Linked DNA regions of Drosophila melanogaster. The protein of the gene in region 2 purifies or fractionates together with the protein of the main gene of each other region. This does not show direct contact. Each region holds a gene or a part of one and is shown on either strand. Other genes may lie near its edges. The genes, in order: CG32450 and JMJD7.

Region 1 (3,347 bases), 8.9 Mb from region 2:
ACTCCTGCTCCTGTTGCTGTGTTTGTTCTTGTTGCTGCTGCTGCTGTTGTTGTTGTTGTTGTTGCTGTTGTTGTTGTTGTTGTTGTTGTTGTTGTTGTTGGTATTATTGTTGCTGGGGGTCCAGAGCAAGGATTATAAATTATAACAGCCTCACACGGTTATTTATGTCATGTCAATGGGAAGGGGTGTCACACGGAAGGGGATATATCATCAATGCATGCGCTTAGTTGAGTGGAAATAGCTGCGAAATAAAACTATGCATTCGGGACTGGCTTTAAAGTGGAGCAGGCCGAGATGAAAGGGACTTAAATCGCAGCCAGCCCCAGGATCCCATCGCACCGCACCACAGCGCAGCGCGCTAAGCCAGAGATCTGCTTTGAAGCTTTTGATTTATTTGCTTGATGGCAAATCATTAATTTGCTTTGAGCCAGAGCAAAAAGAAAGCACGAAGCTTAGCATGCTTTTCAGCTGCTGTCAGATTTTCGGGCGACAAACAACCACCGCACGAGCAAAAAGGCAGCCGAAAGAAGCAAATTTAAATAAAACGCAAACCAACAAAATAATCCGACACATGCGCTGCCAAATGATTACCCAGGACTTGGCCCCAAAACCCCCACCTAATCCTATGTGCAATGTCTTTCCCTTCGCTCTGCGGGGTTCAGTGTGTTTTTGCAACATAAAAAACCAAACAATCACTTCATTTTATTGCGCCAAACGAGAAAGCCCAAAGCTGACACTTTTCCAGTCGCAAAAAAGGTCTCAATCATTAAACGGAATTGAAGGATCATATCGATTTTGTTGCTTAGAAGGGTACAAAGCCTGGTTGGATTCGAGAAGGTACTTTCCTCGATTCTCGATTTTAAGATCCCCAGTCATATCCGAGTGGGGATCCAACTGAGTGTTGATTTAATTAATCATCGGATCTATCGGTTTTGCGCAGCCAGTGGGCATTGCTGCTTTCACATCTCTTTGCTTTTGGTTCGGATGGATCAGTGGTTAATAGGAGGGGGTCAGAAATGTCCTTTCGCTTCCAGATTCCCTGCTTGTATTCCGGACCGTACTTGTCTTTCATACGCTGTTCAAGCTCGTACAATTTTAATGGTGTCCGTTTAGCCACTGTATGCTGCTCGAGGTCAGACTTGGTCAGAGGTCAGGGGCTATAGGTCCACGCACAAAACTTACCATACTCCGCACATATTTGTACACCCCATAGCCGATGCAGGCCAGAATTAAGGGAACTACCACAAACAGCCCCACGTTTAAACTATTCAGCTCGGGATCGCTGACCACGTGGGTGACATCGACGGTTTCCAGGGCAAAGGGTGGGTAAAAGAAGCGAATGATCTTATAAGTGGCATTGGCCAAAGTATGTTTTGGAAAAGGCTTCACGATGTCCACAAACCTCAACGACCAGTGCGAGTCCGGCGGCGGTACCGTTATATCCATATTTTTAAAAAAATGTATATAGAGAATGTTAAACCAAAAAAAACAGCAACGTCGAATTTTAGATTGTTCTAAAGCGACTTCTACTTGGTACTGGACAAGCAGCACTCTAAAAATGACTGATCCATCAAGGGCAACTCAATTAGGCCCGGTATTCGTGAAAACCCTTTAGCCAGACATAAATCATCGCCTACTTGGGAGCCCCGGAATGGCGTCATTGATTTATTAGCAGGACATACGCTCGAATCGATGCTGCTGGTGAAAAACTAGCGACAGAAGTGGCGGTGGAAAATGAAGCTAAAGTGGGAGCTGAGCAAAACCAGCCAAACCATCATCAGTCACCAGGCAAACAAACACGACGAGGACCCAAAGCGCAACGGCGTCATATACAAAAAGTGCTTGCATACATTACCCCGGAACCCATGAGCCGGAATAGATGTGGGGCGAAGGACCAGGGTCGCAGGACACGGTGTGCGCGGCAGAGGAAAGGACGCGTGCTTACTGCCAGAAACACGTACAAGAAATCATGAAATGTTGCCGCCATCATACCGAAAATTGTACGGGTAACGTGCAAGCAATCAAAGTACATGGAGGCAGGACTAGGCAGGACTCGACTCGAATCGACTGCGGCAACTAGAGCGCCTCGACATTGCCAAGGCCTGTGTGCTCCTCGAGCAGCGCCCACACGTCTGATTTTTACTACACACGTGTGCTGATGTGACGTCGACAGGATTGTGACTGCCTACTGACAACACTAGTGGGCCTTCTCCTTCTTTTGGCCTTCTGGGTCCTAGACTCCAACTGAGCATCTGGTTCAGACCAAGACCGAAACCGAAACCAGTCTGGCCGAAATGTAAAGTATAGTTGACGCAGACGTGCCAAGCTCGACGTGGCTGTCGTAGATGCTGCTTTTTGCTGTTTAAGTAAGCATGCAAATGTCACATGTAGACGGTAGTCGGTACTCGGTAGTTGGCGGTATCGGCAGGAGGGGATCAAGGGGAAGTGGGCGTGATAAGCACTCTCAGTTATGAAGGTGGGCATTGCTTGGTTTTCGGGCTCGCCGTTTCTTGCCCCTGCCACACATAAATGATGAGGTACACGTTGCCTCAGGCTGAATTTAGTGATTTCCCCGAGCATGTGGCATACTTTTTATGCGGCTCCTCCACGTGAGCATAAGGAGCTTCGGTTTATGGTTATTGATTCAGCCGAGCGGAGGTGGAGATAGTTTGAGTTATGGCCTCGGTCTGATTTGTGTCAGCAGGAAGTTTAAAAGAAATTGTTGCGCACTTTCGGGAGGCCAAAAGTGGATTACTCAGAGGGTTGCAGGCAGGTCCCCTGATTGAATTGGCTTAGCTGGGGGCGTACGGAACGAGATTGGATTGGATGGGGATGGGGACTTGCAATCAAAAGCCTAGTTTGTTGCTGCCTTCGCCAACCTCATCGTATTGGCAAAAGGTGGCAACCCTCGATCCACTCATTGTTCGATCAAAAATTCATGGCATACCCGTACGTTGGAGAGGTGCCAATAACTCGGCTGCTCCACTGACAATCGCCACTGTCTGTCTGCCCGTACGCAATTTACAATTACCGCACGCACACACAATTTATTTTGCAGCGCTAACAAATAAGCTAAACATTTTCGTGGCCAAGGGCCGTCCCGCTCCCAGGTGTATAGCAAATCAAAAAATCAGACAGGGCTGGGCACGAAGACACGCCAGGCAATCAGTTAAATGTTTGTTGAACTCACCAGCGTCGAGGTCCTTAAGTTCTCAAGAACGCACGACTCGCCGGTTTCGAGGAGTCCCAGGGGCTTCGCTTCTCCGCTCTCGATGCGCTCCTGCCCTTTTCCGAAAATTGAACTTGTTGGCGCCCAGAACGCAGAGCCCCGAAACCGCACCGAACAA
Region 2 (3,922 bases):
GTCATCAATGACTCCCTACTGGCAGAGGTATCAAAGCTGACGGCCACTGCTGCCCAGAATTCGACCGCCAGCTCGCCACTAATTTCGCCCAAACGCATATATGCCAAGATCAAGAAGATGGACATACCACGACAGCGGGACGAGTTCCTGCTTTGGTACCGTTCTTATTTGGAGCAGCTGTTTGTGGTGGAACAGCCGCAGGATAGCTGCAAGACCAAGTCGAAGGTGACACCTTCTGGAGCCAGTCCGGCCAAGCTGAAGAACCAGCGTGTGCGCAAACAGTCCCAATCCCAGTCGCAGGACTCGAATAACGATGCAGACTTGGCCGAGGCGGACCAAAAGAACGTCTCCTCCGCGGGAAATGGCGAACTGGAGTGCGAGAACAACGAAAATCCCGACGAGGAGGCAGATGGACAGGCTGCAGCGGAGCCTTCCGGCGCAGAAAAACAGGACGTCAGTCTCGAATAGACTAGAGAATAACCCAACAAAGCAAACATTCCTTATTTAAGAAGTCATCATCTGTACGGATATTTCATATTTCATTTACGAATTTCGGAAAAGATAAATCTTTTATGGTCGTGTCCTTAGTCGTAGTTCGCAACTCATTTTGGGTATCAGTTTTTTATTTAACACTAAATTATGTAACAATAATATATATAAATACACTGAAAACAAGAAGGGTTTTGAATTCACCTAACAATCCCTGAGAATAAATACTTCTCCGGATTCTATTAGCCACTCCTTGCGGACGTCATCTGCTCCAGCATGCGGTAGTAGCAGTACCGGCTATCGTAGTCCAGATCGTACCAGAAGTTCACGGCGATGCACTTGTGGCTTTGGGACACATGGTGGAACCAGTAGTTGGGCAGGTATAGGATGTCTCCCGCGTGAACACGTACTTTCAGAGGCTTGGCCCGGGCGTACTCCGGATATTTGGCCAGGTCGGGTGACAAGGGATCAACGCTGACCCATTCTGTGAACTGATCGCTGCCTTCCTCATCCCTCAACGGTTCAATGTAGAACTGACCACTATCTGAGGTCTTGTAAACGCCTGTAGGGTAAATTCCTCGCGGTACGCAGCTAAGCTGGTGCGGCGGGATGAGAACGAAGTCCTTGTGACCGGATATCACGCAGTACACGTTCTCGTATGGATCCTTGTGCATGGAGGTAACGGCGCGCTCGTCGCCCAGCCAAAAGTTAACAGCATCAGGCGGTTTGTTAAAGGACTGCTGCGCAAAGTCGAGATCACTGACCCGCAGATCAGCAGCCAGTTCCGGTAGGTCCACACTGAGGTTAGAGTTCTGCTTTTGTATGTAGTGGACAGCACCAGTGGGATCATCCAGGCGGCGGACCACCTCGGACAGCTTCATTTTCGTCTCCAGCGGCAAAACGAAGTACTCCTGTCCATTTTGAGTGGCCAAGCCGTCGGCATAGCCATTCGGGGTGATTGCCACATCCACGCTCCTGTCCCCGAGAGCCTCGATCAGGTACTTTGGCGTCCATTTGCCAATCGCGGGCCAATTGAGTGCCTTGCGAATGACCACCGGCTGGTTTTTGGAGTAGAATTCCCGACAAAACTCCAAGGCGGTTGGAATCCTGTCCAGCTCCACTACGCTGCTCCCGATGCACAGCTCCTCCGCTTCCTGGAGCAGAACATCCAGAGCTCTTTCGACCTCGGACATGCCGGTAAACAACACGCACTAACGCATTTTCCGCTAGAGTGGACCTTATCAGCGCAGTGTAATGTGGGGTTCTGGTTTTCAGTGAAAGTTAAACTGAAGTGCTGCAGTGAATTTAATTAGTTTCACCAAATGACGTATTAAATAAATAATATATTATACACAAATTAAATTGAAACATTTATTATTGTAATTTTTGTTACGTTTTTAAAGTAAGTAAGCAAGGTATTCCGAAAAAATCGATAAGGGTCAAATTCGCGTCGGTGAAATGCAAAAATGCTAAGAAAAGAAAGATCTTACTATCTATCTTATAGAGGTTGTCTAGCGTGCATTTTGATTTTGATTTTGCTTTTAATAATTAATTTGAATTTGGTGGTATAGAAATATAAGTGGTATTTTCTGAAACTGCAATGGTGTTGAGAACTGTGGTATTTATTTGCAAGTCGCTTGGTATTTTCCAGCGCTTTCGGCGCGGTCCCACTGGACGCGAGTGTGTTTGCGAGTGCGGGACTTTCAAGACGCGCGCGAAGCTGCGGACAGTCGGATAGGAAGTGGAGCGGACTGGAATGCAAACAAGACGACGCGTGTCGAGTGTTTGTGATAGAAACAAATTGTTTTCGAATACGGTCGGTGCTCTATTTGTTTTGTGAAATACAATTGATTTCACCAGCGACTCAGAGGAGGATCAGGGTCGTCACCTCTTTTGCATGCCCGACATTCGCGCGGATTCGAAGTTCAGCTGGTGCGATTCGAGCAACAGGTGGCGGATGACGGATGGATGGATGGGTGGCTAAATGGATCGTGTCGATGGGCCACGGGATTTGGCGAAATTTGGTGCTGATAGACTTATAGACTGACATAGGCCCGGCATTATTATTTGTGGCCAAAAGGGGTCAGGCGGTGTGCGCGTGAGGAAATTGAATTGACTTGGTGGCCACCGGCGGCGGTCCGAAATCGAAATCTGTGTCGCAAATGTGGCACTAATAAATTATCGCACATTCGCGCGCCGCACAGCGAGTGCTTCATTAATGCAGGAATCGCAAATGACGGAGAATATCTAGTTTTGCAGCGGCACTGCGTTTGTTTCATTTTGCCAGGAGAACGTGACCAAACTTTCCAAGTGCCGCGTGAATTGGATCTACCCAGCCAATAGGTCTTAATAGAGCTAACAATTATTTTTGGTAGCCACGCTTCGCGAAGCTGGGCGCAAACAAAAAAGAACGCAAACTCCGTGGCCTATAAATATCGGTCTTCGGAATTACTAAATCCAATTGCAGTCCAATTAGCAGTCGGACGCCAATGAAGCGGCTGTGAAAGAGTAAGTACGATGCTCTTTTGAAGCAAATACTTGCAAACGTCGAAGTTTACACACCCTAACGATTAAAGAATGTTTAACTTAACTGAAACATAAAAAATTATGCTTAAATAAATAAATTGATGTCTTAATTTGCCAATCAGACTCTGTGACTCTAAACACACAGTTCCAATCAGACAAATTTTCAAATCTAATCTGCTTAAAAATAAACCAAAGTGATTGATAGAGTCTTATGTTGATAGCTATTTAACTGATATAGGCTATAATAGACACTTCCGGTGAAAGTTCCCTTCAATGCATTACAAACCATAGACTGCAGCGCATATACCCTCCAAAAAAAGAGAATCAAAATCAACAAACGCCAACAGTGCGTATGACAGTTCTTACGCAATTAAAATACCATCACTGGCTGTAAGATTTACATAAATTCGGCCTGCGAAACTGAAAACTGATAAGCGTCATAAAAAAAAAATGAGGGGCAGCAACAACAATTGGTGTGTGAACCGAAACCCGAAAGCCGAAAAGCCAGTTGGGGAAACAATGCCAAACTCGCACAGAGCAATGCATTTTTCCACAATTTATTTAAATTTCGCACAGTTGTTGCTGCTGCATGGCAAGCCCCGAAATGAGTCAGTCGCGTGGCGCTGCACTCGCAGTTGCACTCGCACTTGCATTCGCTGCATGCCAGCGCGTACTTCTTTGTGGCGACAGAGGCTGCGCCGTCATAAGCACTGTCAAATTGCGATCGCCCCCGAGTGGGTGGGGCGTCGAGGGGAGCTGCGGCGGCCGGTGGGAGGCGTCATTGGCCCACTGCTGTTGCTGCTGTTAGGCGCGCTTTTCTCTTGCACCTCGCTGCCCCGCCGTCACTGACCACACTCAACGCCAAATCGACAGTCGCCTCTGGGCACAGTCGGGGTCGAAAAAGTAG

What was found.
Region 1: the proteins of JMJD7 (region 2) and CG32450 purify together in Drosophila melanogaster (affinity purification with mass spectrometry, with the first as the bait; one large-scale study listed by BioGRID). This does not show direct contact.

What each region holds. Positions count from the first base shown.
Region 1 is NT_037436.4:22,327,993-22,331,339, reverse strand, and holds CG32450 (uncharacterized protein), read right to left. Parts: upstream 1,563-3,347; 5' UTR 1,447-1,562; coding exon 1,183-1,446; intron 1,124-1,182; coding exon 911-1,123; 3' UTR 683-910; downstream 1-682.
Region 2 is NT_037436.4:13,448,578-13,452,499, forward strand, and holds JMJD7 (jumonji domain containing 7), read right to left. Parts: upstream 1,707-3,922; 5' UTR 1,683-1,706; coding exon 732-1,682; 3' UTR 610-731; downstream 1-609. Other genes in the region: cmb (combover), read left to right, coding at 1-468. UniProt on the Drosophila melanogaster protein: Bifunctional enzyme that acts both as an endopeptidase and 2-oxoglutarate-dependent monooxygenase.